Linked DNA regions of Ovis aries. The protein of the gene in region 1 interacts with the protein of each later gene in a pairwise test. Links are inferred from orthologs where the notes say so. Each region holds a gene or a part of one and is shown in the gene's direction. Other genes may lie near its edges.

Evidence for each region. The genes of interacting proteins can lie anywhere in the genome.
Region 2: the proteins of RBPMS (region 1) and SEMA4G interact in binary tests that used the Homo sapiens proteins (3 or more experiments, as listed by UniProt). The two-hybrid records come from large-scale screens. The link is inferred for Ovis aries from reciprocal best matches to the Homo sapiens genes RBPMS and SEMA4G.
Region 3: the proteins of RBPMS (region 1) and NEDD9 interact in binary tests that used the Homo sapiens proteins (3 or more experiments, as listed by UniProt). The two-hybrid records come from large-scale screens. The link is inferred for Ovis aries from reciprocal best matches to the Homo sapiens genes RBPMS and NEDD9.

The regions. Positions count from the first base shown.
Region 1 is NC_056079.1:25,813,392-25,818,410, forward strand, and holds part of RBPMS (RNA-binding protein with multiple splicing), read left to right. Parts: intron 1-3,835; coding exon 3,836-3,969; intron 3,970-5,019.
Region 2 is NC_056075.1:21,582,447-21,586,170, forward strand, and holds part of SEMA4G (semaphorin-4G), read left to right. Parts: intron 1-71; coding exon 72-187; intron 188-364; coding exon 365-540; intron 541-733; coding exon 734-795; intron 796-2,267; coding exon 2,268-3,097; 3' UTR 3,098-3,724. UniProt on the Homo sapiens protein: Cell surface receptor for PLXNB2. May play a role in axon guidance.
Region 3 is NC_056073.1:44,300,801-44,305,819, forward strand, and holds part of NEDD9 (enhancer of filamentation 1), read left to right. Parts: exon of another isoform or gene 1-2,616; coding exon of another isoform or gene 2,617-2,619; intron 2,620-3,397; coding exon 3,398-3,844; intron 3,845-5,019. UniProt on the Homo sapiens protein: Scaffolding protein which plays a central coordinating role for tyrosine-kinase-based signaling related to cell adhesion. As a focal adhesion protein, plays a role in embryonic fibroblast migration.

The DNA.
Region 1 (5,019 bases):
GAGCTGAGGGGCGGCTGGGGCCAGCTCCTCCACTGGCCGTCCACCCAGGTGTTTGGCCTCTGGTGGGACAAGTCCCCAGATACCATCTGAGAGGACATGGATTCAAACTGCTTCGGGAGCAAAACCAAGAAAGGCTACCAAGAAACTTTGGAATTAAAAGACGCAGGCGCCATAAAAACCAAGTGAACTCCATGAAGAAAACCCATGGTGACGGGGCGAAAAGGAGAACGAGCTCCATATGGGATCATGTTTTATTCAAGGCCGGCGCTGCCGGTGGGGAAGGCCAGAACTCGGTGACAGGAGGGGAAAGTGAGACACCCCAACTTCCAAGTTCCATCCGCTCTGCCACCGAGCGCTTCTCGCTCCACCGACCCCGGCTCCTGGAGACCTCTAATGGCCCTTGATAGCAAACATAGTTAAAAATTAACAGACTGACAGAATTAAATATGGATGACCAGCCAGCACTGCAGACTTAATCTGACACAGGGTGTTACACGCCTGGGTGCCTTCAACCCGAGTGGCGTCCTGAGTGAACTTCTGGGATGTCTGAGCACATTTCGCATGCCTGTGTGGAAGCGCGAGTTGAGCTGGTGCCGAGGAGAGATGGGGAGAGATCTGAAAAGGCCAGAAGAGAAGCAGATCCCTGAAGGGTTATGTTTAATTAAGCCCGGCCTTGGTTGGTCTGAGTGGGAGGGGTTCACTGGCCTAGGACCTTGCTCTTGGGATCTGGACCTTGTGGCTGCCTGGACTCAGACCTCAGTAGCCTCACACTGTTCAGACCTGGAGAAGGTGCAAGGTCCTTGGGCCTCCTCTCCCCCCGACCCCTACCTGGTCAGGTGGCAAGCTTCAACCTTTGAACCAGTTCACAGAAATCTTGACATTTTTGTCTAGGTAACAATAGCCACTTGCTTAATCGCCCCAGGCAAAGAGTATTGTAAAAGAAATAGTAAGAAATGCTGATTGCAGTTCTGTGTCTTTGTCCTTGGAAAGAGTAGGAGGGGGCGGAGGGGAGACTGGGGGGGTGGTAGGGAATGGTCCTCAATGGGCCTCATCTTGTGGGGTAGAGAAATTCCTGGCAAGTGTTCTGGTTTTGGTGAACGCCTTGTTAGAAATAGGGAAGACTGCTGTTTCACAGAATCCTGTAATTCATCCCATCATGAGGATCATCTTTTTTGTGATTGCGAATCATCACTGGGGTCTGTTGGGTGAGTTTGGACTTCCTTGGACCAGAGGAGGTGTTCGGCTTGGCTGCCTCTCCACAGCCTGCAGCGGAGTTTGCTGTGGGACCTGACCTGTTTATTTGGTGATACCGCTTAAGAGCGGCGCCTCAGAGCCGGAGTCGGTGGGGGCAGAGTTGATCATGAATAAATAGCATATGAGTGGCTAGTGGCTGGTGACCGGTGGCTCGCAGCTGAGAAAGCTCTGGCAGGGTCTTCAGGGCTCTGTGTTGGGGACAGTGGGAGAAACCCGCCTTAAGATCTCCATGCCTTCAAGAGGAGAGAGAGAGCTCGGTTCTGAATGTGGTGCCGGGAAGTCTGCGTCCAGGCCCAGCACCCGCCTTAGGAAAGGGAAGTTGCCGCTGCGACTTGTAGATCAGGCAGCCAGGGAACCAGCTGGTCTGGTGATCGCCTAGCTCTGATTAGTTTCGTTCAAGAGCTGGTTGACACATCAGCATGCCCAGCCTCCCGCCTCCGCCAAATGTCACCACTGGAAGGCACCTTCCAGACCAGCATTTCTCAACACTGTTACGTAGTTTAAAAGATGACGTGATCCGATAAACTTGGGAAGCCCAGGATGAAATCGGGCCAGACAGGTTTGTTTCAGCTTCTCGGAGCCTTTCCCGTACTGACGTGGATCTAGAATCTGCTGAGACGGTGTGTTTTTCTCTTAAACATACTTGACTGCCGAGCGTGACTCGCTTCTTCCGGCTGCCCTTTAGGAAACCTTGTGCTAGAGCAGGGTCTTTCAAAGCTGAGCATGCGTATATGCAGCAGCGTTACCTGGTGGACTTGATAAATGCAGGCGCTTGAGCCCTCCCCCAAACAGTTTCTACATTTCGGACCAGGTGGTCCCAGGTGATGCTGGTGGTCGGGGGACCATGTTCTGAGAACCACTGGTCTAGACTTGTCCCTTGAGTCCACAGAGAAGAAAATCGCTAAACCGAGGGGTGTTTAATAATGGTGGCTCCCAGGAGTTGAACCAGCCACCTAGTAAGCACTTCTCGTGACTGTTTCTAAAGGCAAATGGGATAATGATGGAATTGTGCCTAGGAAGGAAGCCCTTTGGATGCTTTACCGTGTTTGCTCCTCAAAACACTGCAGGAGAGCTCCTGAGCGAGGCAGGGAGCCCCCTCTGGAGCCCAGTCAAGGTCGGCCTATGCTTGGCAACACTGTTTAGGATGTGAAGTCTCTGTACTTGAATCCTCTGGGCCTTACTACCTCATCTGTACATGGAAGAGGATGGATGTTTTATGGGTATCTCCTCCTCTTCTCTAGCACTTTATTTTTGTACTGAGTCATTTCTTCTCTGGCTGCTCTCCTCCTCCTGTCACCAGTCACTGGAGCTGGTATGATGCTGAGGTGGTGGAGACTCCAGGGTTACCCTTGCTGCCCTGGGCAGGAGCGTTCCTCAAGAAGCGTGATGGCGGAACCCCATTGTGACCCCTGGATGGTGAATCGAAACAGGGATGACTGTCAAGTGTCAGGATGAGGCTCTAGTGGAAGCGCCCAGGGTCTTCCATGTCGCTTACTCACATGTCGCAGTCTGCGTGCTGCGTCTAGCCATCTCTGGTGCAGAGCGAGTAGCAGTATCAGTTTGGATCCTATCTGTTATGTTAGAGGATCTTTCAGGGACTTCTGAGGCCCTTGGAATTGCACACAACACGGTGAGCATGCAGTTGTGTACATGAGGTTGAGCACACGTGCATTTTTCTGCTGAACAGGACGGTGGCCTTAGGAGAAAGGTCAGCCATGCTGGATGGTCCCTCGAGCCAGAGTCAGTGAGTCATGGGTTTCCCCAATGTTTATGACACATCTAACTAGCCCCTAGGCGCCAGGCAGGAGTGGCCACAAGTGACCAGGAGCCAGAAACCACAGCAGATCGGCAGTCTTGAGTGGGCGTAAGGATGAACCCTCTGTTTTCTTAGAGGAGAGTGGCGATTAGCACAGAACACTTGTTCCCCCCGGGCTGGCTGCCTGTGCTGGGGTTTTGCCCTGTGAGCTCTGCTGCTGATTTGCCCTCCTTGGGCATGGGGACGTTGCTGATGACAAGCACAGGCTAGGCCAGTTCCTGCTGAAAGGGGGATGGCGTTGCACCCCGTGGAGCTGGAAGGAGGCAGCCTTTGGTTGAAGGGGGCGGCACGGCGGGGAAGGGCCCACCTTCTGGGCATGTGCAAGAGTGGCCACGTCCCAGTGGGTCTCAGGCCCATTGCCCGATCACCTTCCCTGAGGACCAGCCCTTGGGCTGACTGAACCTCTGCTAAGCTGAGCCCGGCTTCTGGCCCCTGGCTTAGCATCTGCCTGCCCATCCCCTGCGGGGTTCTGGTCCCCACCACAGGCAGGTGCCCTGGAGAGTGTGAGGCTGTGTGTGCAGTGGAGAGGCTGGAGCGGATGTGCGGGACGGGGTGAGGGGGGGCGGGTCTCCTTGTCACCGTCACCTGCACCAAAACGGGAGTCATGCCATCCACCCTGCGTCCCCCCTCTCCCCGGGCTCCTGTGAAACACCAGCGCGCCTTGGGCTCCGTGCCCCAGCCCCGCACCTGGGCATCACCGGCCGCCGCCACTGCTCCCCCAACCCCGGTGCACTCGGACCCATCCCCCCTCCACTGTGTGTCTAGGTTCCCAGCCCCCCACCTGCCACGGGGCTGTGCCCCTGCCCCATCCTTTACTACCTGTCTCAGGGAGGCAGCTCCAACTCTGCCCTTTGCTTAGTGAGCAAGTGGATTCAGATGCACAAAGCCGTAAGCCATGGGTAGGTATGAGTTTTTTCTTTTGTGTCTCTCCCTTCTGCCTTCTCCCCCTCCTCTACCCTCCCTCTCTCCCTTCTGCCCCTGCCTCCCACATTTCCCCCCCTCTCTCTCCCCCTTCTTTGTTCTGCACCCCCTAAATTCCCCATGAGACATGTTTTTAGCCTTCCTGCATGAGAAGGTTTGATCTGTGTCCCCTTCATTGCTATGAGTATTGAAAAGACTCTGGTTCAGTCCTAAAAGAGTTTCAGTACCAGCTAGTGGCCCCCCGAGGAATACAGCTTTGCCCTCCTGATACAGGGGCTCCACTTTGGCTGGTAAACCGTTTCTAGTCATATGTGATGTTCTGCCCTGGCAGGTCTCTAAGGCACAGCCGGCCCAAGGGCTTCCATGAAACGGAGTCCTGGTGTTAGGCAGAAGCTCCATATACACCCTTGGTATATGGAGTGAGCGAGGCCAGACTGCTTTGCTCCAGGAGGGGATGGTGTCCGCCAGTGTGGCCCCTCACCATAGAAGGGACACAGTCACTCTGTGAAGGATGCCTGTGGGGTCGAAGGGAGCTCTGCAGACTTCTGCATGTGACCCATGGGGAAAGGCCAGGGTCAGCCCAGCTTGTAGAATCTAGTTAGATCTGGAGGAGCCCGAGCCCTGGATCCTGACCCAGCCCCGGGCCCACTGAGCTCTGACCATGGTGGACACCACTCAAAATACCCAGCCCTCGGCTGATTTCCCCACCTGTACCTATCAGGTGAGAGGAGGTAGAAGGTCTCCAGGCCCTCTGCACCTCTGGCTCAGCCAGAGGGCTGCTTCATCTGTTCACGCTTTGGAGATACAAATAAGATGGCTGTGAAAAAGGGGTTCTGCTGGCAGATTTGATTTTATTAAGCCACGGAAGTTGGCTTGCCAGAGTAAAGATCCCCCTAGCATCGCATTCCACTCCAGAAATGAACTCCCATGAACCGAAATAAAGAGCCGTCTTTCTCCTGCCGTGCTGGGGAAGGGTACCACCTCTGGGTCCTCTGCTGGCAGCCTCCACCTTTGCTGTAATTTGCCCG
Region 2 (3,724 bases), on another chromosome or scaffold:
GCTATTTATTGCAGGGGGCTGAGAGTAGCTTCCACTGCTGGGAGTCTGACCTTCTGCCATTCCCATACCAGCTGATGGCTGGATCCACAAGGCTGTGGTCCTGGGCTCTGGGATGCACATTATTGAAGAGACACAGGTGTTCAAGGAGCCCCAGTCTGTGGAGAACCTGGTCATCTCTCCGATGCAGGTAGCTCCTGACTCATGACCCTCAATATTCTGGTCTTGCCAGAGTAGACAGAGGGAGGTGGGAGGCTGGACACTGGCTGTGTGTGTGTGTGTGTGTGTGTGTGTGTGTGTGTATGTGTGTGTGTGTCTGTAAGTGGGAGTGAGGTGCTGCCAACCAGCTGTTCTCTCTGACTCCTAGCATAGCCTCTATGTGGGGGCACCAAGTGGCATCATCCAGCTACCACTGTCCAGCTGCTCCCGCTACCGCTCCTGCTATGACTGCATCCTGGCCCGAGACCCCTACTGTGGCTGGGACCCCAGCACCCATGCCTGCATGGTGACCACCACCGTAGCCAACAGGTCCCAAAGTAGCAGGTGAGAGGCATGGGGGTTGGGGGGGGGCGGTTCGAGGGTCCCATTTGCCCCGGGAATCAGGGCCTAAGGGGTGAAGGAGGGCCTGCCAGCTGAGGGAGTAGGGTCCAGTTGTTAGTAACAGCTTTACTGACCCTTCCACTGGGCAAACTACAGCCATTTCCCTTGTTCTTGAATCCCAATCCTCTGTCTCCAGGACAGCACTCATACAGGACATCGAGAGAGGAAACCGAGGCTGCGAGGGCAGCAGGGTCACAGGTAAGTGCCATCATGGCCGTGTGTGGGTCTGGCAGCAGTCTGTCCCCTTTACCATCTGATGCCATCTGTATGTGCATATATGTATCTGAATGACTCTGTGCTTTCAGTGAGAATGACCGAGCAGAGAGTAAGTATTCAACAAACATTTGTTGCAAAACGAAAAGCTATAAATATGCAAACAGGTTCAAGATGTGAAGTTTTTCCTCACTTCTGGAGCTTACAGCCAAGTATGTGCACAGGCAATTAAATGATCACACAATAAATTACAACTCTTTTCTTTGGCTTTTTTGATACAAAAGAAACAATTACAACTATGACAAGGGTTTGAGAGATAATAGGTTCTTCCCCAAGGAAGATCAGATGACTGAGCTGATATCTGAAGCAAGAGCAATAATCATAATAATCATAGCTAATATGTACCGAGGATTTACCATGTGGCAAGCACTGATCAAACACACGCATTTCCTTTGTTCTCAGAGCATTCCTATGAGACAGGTGCCATTATTACCATCTCCATGAGAGGCAATCTCTCCGAGTAACAGAGAGAATAAGTAAACTACCCCAAATTGATCAGCTCTTAAGCAGTAGGCTCAAATGAGCCTAACCCCAAGCAGGCTGATTGGAATCTGTGCTTTTGTTCACTGTTACGCTTTCTCCTCGGAGTTAACCTGGCTAATACAGGGCACGAGGAAGGGGACGACACCCAAGTAGAGGGAAGAGCAAGCTTGGTGTTTGAATGAGAGAAGAGGCTGGAGAGATGGGCAGGACTGTGCCGAGGCAGGGGGATGGGATCATCAGTTTAGTGTATTTTATTTATTTATTTATTTATTTATTAATTTAAAACACAGATTTGACTTTATTATTTTTCTCACTCTGCATTTAATATATCCTATTCATTTTCTTTTTTTAGTTTAGTGTTTTTAAAAGGTCAGCCCACTGCTGCGTAAAGAATGGATTAGGTGAGGGCCAGCAGCTGGGGAAGGAGAGACGTGAACAGGTCTGAGAAAGATTCTGGAAGCAGAATCTTAGTGAGGGTTAGATACAAAGGTGAAGGGGAGAAAGAGACAAGGGAAACTCAGGTTTCTGGGAAATGGCTGGTGGTGCCATACAACTGGTGATGACAATTCAAGAAAAATACCCAGTGTCATCTAAGAGGGAGCTTTTGGCCTCAGTTCCTGTGACATGTCCAAGAGATGTATGGCACGTAGAAGAAAGTCAAGTCTACGCTCAGTAGAAAACTCTTTGTTGGAGACAGAAATGAGGAATCACTGGTAGATGTCAGGAACTGAAACCACTGAGATGGGCCAACTGAACCTTGCGTGGGAGCATGAGCACAGAGGGCTTAGTCCTGCAACTCTAGATTCTGTGTGTGGTGCTGGGGACCTAACAGTGAACCACCTGGCTTGCCATCTCCAGTGCCTCCCAGGATAAGCAGGCACTGACCACATTCTCCTGTCCCTTGCTCCCTCCAGGGCCACCACCACCACTGAAGACCCGTTCTGTGCTTCGGGGTGATGATGTCCTATTGCCCTGTGACCAGCCATCCAACCTGGCCCGGGCCTTGTGGCTGCTCAATGGGAGCATGGGCCTGAGCGATGGGCAGGATGGCTACCGCGTGGGTGTGGATGGGCTGCTGGTAACAGACACGCAGCCTGAGCACAGTGGCAGCTACGGCTGCTATGCTGAAGAGAACGGCCTCCGCACCCTGCTGGCCTCCTACAGCCTCACAGTGCGGCCAGCCACTCCAGCGCCTGCTCCACAAGCCCCTGCCATGCCTGGGGCACAGCTGGCACCGGATGTGCGGCTGCTCTACGTGTTAGCCATTGCTGCACTTGGTGGCCTCTGCCTCATCCTGGCTTCCTCCCTCTTCTACGTGGCCTGTCTTCGGGGAGGCGGACAAGGGCACCGTCGAAAATACTCACTGGGTCGGGCTGGCCGGGCAGGGGGCTCTGCTGTGCAGTTGCAGACAGTCTCAGGCCAGTGTCCTGGAGAGGAAGATGACGGTGATGATGGAGAAGGGGCTGGGGGCCTGGAGGGTGGCTGCCTCCAGATCATCCCCGGAGAGGGAACCCCAGCCCCGCCGCCACCACCCCCCCCACCGCCACCAACTGAGCTGACCAATGGGCTGGTGACGCTGCCCAGCCGGCTGCGCAGGATGAATGGCAACAGCTACGTGCTCCTGAGGCAGAGCAACAATGGAGTGCCGGTGGGGCCCTGCTCTTTTGCGGAGGAGCTCAGCCGCATCCTGGAGAAGAGGAAGCACACACAGCTCGTAGAGCACCTGGATGAAAGCTCTGTCTGAGCCCAGCCTCCCAGGACAAATGCTCTTCCAAACCAGCCTGCCTGTACCAGGCTGGGCCGCTGGCTCCCCAACGGACACCTTACCCTCATCCCCGCAACTCCAGGCCCTTCTCCCAACTTTGTGATGTCCCTGTAGGGCTGGCCAGCGTCAGGCCCAGCCAAAGCCCCCTTCTCAGTCTCTCCACAGACCCATCTGTGAGCAGCCCAGGTCAACCGGTGCTCCTCAGAGGTAGGTGCCCCTCAGGCTCTGCAGTCCCAGCCCCCACTCCTCTTCCCTTTTAACCTAAGCACTTGGGAGGAGAGGATGCCATCCTCCTGCCCCAATCATCTGCTTACACCCTTCCTCTTTCTCCCAGGCAGGGCTCTGCAGGTCCAGGTGGCCTCAAGGTCACCACCCTCTGCCTGGCCCTATGTGCTGGACGGTCCTGAAAACAAACCAGACCTCTGCCAGCCACCAGAGCCACCTGAGCCCTGCGTGCATTCACGTGCGCACATGGAAGAATGCCTATCAGCTGGGCTGCAGGGCCCCCACCCCCACCTCCTGGTGCATTCCTGCATTTCATTCCTTCTTCTGGACTTTGGGTACCCTCTTAATTGCCACCTCCCATCCTATCTAGTCTTTTCCTGT
Region 3 (5,019 bases), on another chromosome or scaffold:
GAATTGGCTTATTCCCTAGACATGACAAAAAGAATCGTCGTCTTCAAAGCTTTACTGTAAAATGGAAAGGAGCCCAGTTTGCAGAACAGTATGAACTAGAACTAAGGTGGCCTGGAAGGCCAAGAGACTACAGTTCTGTTCCCATCTCTGACTCCACCGAGGTGTGGCCTTGGGCAGATGATTAACTGTCCCCTCTGCCAGATGTGTTTCCTCATCTGTGGAACAGGGAGGCCGGGTCCAAGTGTCCTCTGAAGGTCCTCTGAAGGAGCTGTAACCCCTCTGTGTGTGAGGCTGCTGGCTCCCTGTAGCTCATGCAGGTGGTAAATAACTTATTCCCGTTAGGCCGAGGCTGAGAAGAACTCTCAGTGTTGAGGCACCAGGCTGGCAGGGGAGCCTCACCGGACTCCCTGAATCCCAGTCTCTGTGGGCACGGAGGAGGAGCTAGTCAGAAGACACCCACGGTGCGTCCACAAGCGGCTCCCTGGGTTTTCCACGAGAAGCGGCTCTGGCAGCCTGTCTAGAAACCTGAACGTGCGGCTTAGCTGGTGGTGGTGGAGGGTCATGGGGGCAAGAGGCAGAGACCATCTAGACTAGCCTTCATGCGGGGATTGCTAGCCGCCTCGAGCTGGTTGTGGCCCGTGGCTCCACTTCAGTGCCTCCCAGAGCTCCACAGCCGTGCCCAGCTCCAGATGCCTGGAGCTCATGTATGCAAATAAGGCTTGTGGTCTTTCACGCTTCTAGTCTCCTCTGTTTCTGTTTTTGATTTTTGGCCACGAGCAACATAGGGGACCTTAGTTGCCCAGTCAGAAATGGAAACCAGGCCGCCTGCATTGGAAGGGAGAGTCTTATCCACTGGACCACTGGGGAAGTCCCTGTTCTGTTTCTTTTCTTTCCCTTCTTGATCACCAGTATCAAGCTCTGGACCCTCAACTCCCATAGATCTGGTTCCAACCCTGTCACTCCTGATGTCAGGAGGCATTAGGGCCTCCTTGCCAGCCATTCCCAGTCTTTGCATGGGCCTCGGAGAAAGGGACAGAGTCCAGAGTGGTCAGCCTTCTCCCTGCTCTGTCACCTCAGGACAGTTTTGGTGGAGTCACGTATGGATGTGAGAGCTGGGCTATAAAGAAAGCTGAGCACAGAAGAATTGATGCTTTTGAACTGTGGTGTTGGAGAAGACTCTTCAGAGTCCCTTGGACTGCAAGGAGATCCAACCAGTCCATCCTAAAGGAGATCAGTCCTGAATGTTCATTGGAAGGACTGATGTTGAAGCTTTGGCCACCTGATGTGAAGAGATGACTCATTTGAAAAGACCCTGATGCTGGGAGAGATTGAAGTCCAGAGGAGAAGGGGACAACAGAGGATGAGATGGTTGGATGGCGTCACCAACTCAATGGACATGAGTCTGAGTAAACTCCGGGAGTTGGTGATGGACAGGAAGGCCTGGCATGCTGTGGTCCATGGGGTCACAAAGAGTTGGACACGACTGAGCGACTGAACTGAACTGAACTGACTGAATTTCCTTCCCATCATTTAGATACAGAGGAAAAGAGTCTTGTCTTCTTCAACTCAATGAATTTTCTTTCAAGGACAGATCACCCACAAGATGGGAGAAGAGAAACGTAAGAGATTTTCGGGTTAGGACTCATCCTTAAATGGTTCCTCACATCATGTTACAGTGCTGTGTGTTTTTATTTTTTTGTGTGTGAACCTTTGTTAGAAGGAACCCGAAGCTTCCTAGAATATAAATACCAAGTACAGCTTTCACCTGGAACACAAACCCCTCAGTATCCTTCAACTTCCCTTTTCTGCCCTCCTGTCTACATTACAGGCTTCCTGGATCAGAAAACCGTCAAGAACAAGGACTGCAGTCTTATTCTTAAAGAGCATCACCAGGCTTCCTGGGCACTGAATTCCAGGGCTTCATCTCCTTTCCTCCTCTCCTTTCCTGTTAAGCTGTTGCACTGTACTCAGAGGAGCTTGGTTAACAGAGTAAAAGTAGGAACCTCCCCAACCACTGAGCAGGGGACAGACCCACAGCACAGGACCTGTGGTTATGGGGCATAGTACAGGGGGAGATGGTGCGTGCATGTCAGTGATGAAGGGCTGAAAAGCAGGAGGCTGAAAGATCAAATTCACATTTTTAGAGAAGAAAACACGGGGGCAGAAATCCAGACAACAACAGCCCCAAATTCCACGGGTATGTCATCAGAGCACACTCCATCCAATCGGCAGTCTTTTCTCCCGCAGCCGATCATCATCACCCCAACATCGAGGGCATCCCAACTGTCTAGTGAAGCACTGAAGAGACCGTCTTGAGTTTTCCGATGGCTGGAGATGAATTTGCAACGTTCCAGGGCTCTGTGTGTGCTGGGAAGGAGCCGGCATCGGGGTGGGGAAGGCTACCCTCATGCCTCGAGACGTGACTGATGCCAAGAAATGAAATCGCCCAGCCTTTGAAAGACTTCCAAGAACGTCGGCATGTCCTGCCTACCCGCTCCCCGCCGAATGCCTGCTTTGGCTGGCTGCTCCGTACTGAAAGTGCCAGACAGGCCTTCACACAAAGAGAGAAAGTGTCTGGGGCCCATGAAAGGGGAAGGCAGAGCCTTTCCGATGTGAATGGTGAGATTCAAGGAGGAGGAAATAAAGTGGCGGGGTGAGGAGGGGCCCTCAGGAAAGGTGGGAACAAAGTACCAGAGGGGACGGGGCGGCCTCTGCCTGCCCACGTGGGGTAACCTCTTTGGAGCTCCGCATGCTCGGGTCTGGAGGTGTGGACCACCGTCACTGCACTCTGCACAGGATTATCATGGAAACATCCCCCGCTTGTAGAGTCTCCCTGTATCCGAAGACCTCTTGATCAACTGAGAGTATGAATTGTTAAGGCCTGCCAAGGCAGAGATCAGTGTACTTCTGTTTCCATTTTAATACTGGATATAAACGCCATTTGTGCTGTTTGTCTGGGGGGAATGTTCTTTGACTCTCTTTACCTCCAATATACTTTTAAAAAATGTCTGTTGCAGTCCATTTGAATATCTTGGAATATATTTTTCTTCCTTCGGCTGGATTGGAGCAAGGAAGAAAAATGCTTTGTAGAGTGAACTGCTCTCCAGCTCCTTTGCCGAGCTCCTCGTAATTCCCTTGGCACAGCCTCTGCTGTTGGAACACAGCACTCGGTGGTGTTCCGAGCTTTTCCGAGGAGGCGGTCTGATGTCATTGGTGGCAGACACAGTACGTATGGATCTGTCTTTTGTCTGCACCATCTGTTTTTCTCCTTACAGCCCATTGTTTGGATCCTCCTCTTTCCAGGAAGTGTGCCTCTCCATCAGAGCACGGGCTTAGGTGTTTCAGGGACTCAGTTCATCTGCTAACCTGCGTTCCCCCTCTCTTCTTTCCTGCCTAGAATCTTATGGCCCGAGCCTTGTACGACAATGTCCCGGAGTGTGCCGAGGAGCTGGCTTTCCGCAAGGGAGACATCCTGACTGTCATTGAGCAGAACACAGGAGGACTGGAGGGATGGTGGCTCTGCTCCTTACACGGCCGGCAGGGCATTGTCCCCGGCAACCGGGTGAAGCTTCTGATTGGCCCAGTGCAGGAGACCTCCTCCAATCAGGACCTGCCCACTTCGGGACTGGGGCCACCGCCCTTTGGCCAACAGAAGCTCTATCAAATACCAAACCCACAGGGCGCCCCTCGAGACACCATCTACCAAGTGCCGCCTTCCTACCAAAATCAGGGAATTTACCAAGTCCCCACCGGCCATGGGACCCAGGAACAAGATGTGTATCAAGTGCCACCCTCAGGGCAGAGAGGCGCTGGGGGCGCTAACGGTCCCCACCTAAGTAAAAAGGTGAGTGAACAACAGCTGGATTTCTCTTCTTATTTAATTTTTTCCATTGCAATCAAAATATGTGTCTATGTGCTCCTAAAATAAGAACTTGGAGCTTCCAAGAAGCCGTCGAAGAAGTAAGTAAATCTTCCAAGAAGTAAGAATGTCTGAATACTCTAGCTTGCACGTTTTTTTTGACAGGGGAAGTCATTTTTCCATTCATTGGTCAGTAAAACCTTCTTGAACACCCACCCCATGCCAAGTACTGTTGATCCATAGCCCTTACAGGTTCCCGAGTTGTGCCAGGTTATACCGCGTCGTCAAGTGTTCCCATCTTTCTGATAGCCCTGCTTTTACACGTGGGCTCTGCACTCCACAGTCCAGTCTTTTCTCTTTCTCCCTTGAGTAGTACAAGGCACCATACTTTGCACAAGCATAGTGAAGCAGCAAGGACTCTCCTTTCACTAAAAGCTCGATTATGACCCCACTGGCCATGACACCACACGGCTGGCTGCATGAATGCACGAGAAGTCGAGGCCGCAAGGAAGGGGGAGTGGGTGAAGCCAGCCACCGTGTTCTGGAGAGCCATCAGCCTCAAGGTCGACTCACTTAACACAGAGACTAGTGAATTCAGAGAAGAGCCAGCCTCTTGTCCTTCTAGTAGTTCCTATAACAATGCCTGAGGCGGTGGGTAAAAATAGTGGAGCTAGGGTATTTAGAAAGGCATCATACTAAAAAAAAAAAAAAAAAAAGGTGAGGGCACTTCCTTGGTGATCCAATGGTTAAGGCTTCGCCTTCCAATGCAAGGGTGCATGCAGGTTCTGTCCCTGGTCAGGGAACTAAGATTCCTACGTGCCTGTCAGATAAGAAAAAACAAACAATCAAACATGAAACAGAAGCAAGATTGTAGCAAATTCAATGAAGGCTTTAAAAATGCTCCACATCAAAAAATCTTAAAAAAAAAGAAAGAAAGACCTCTTCAGCACTCTCTGTAATTCCAAATGCTGTAAGAATTTGAGATAAGCAGACCATTGAAGGAGTTTTAAGCATCTAGCCTAGTTTCGATGCTTGTGATAGCCTGATGAATCCAAGAGGGAATGTGGCCTCCACAACACTTACGCTGTAGCGAGAGACGTCATAGTCATGGGCATAAGTTGCTCAGTCCCGTCCGACTCTTTGCGACCCCATGGACTGTA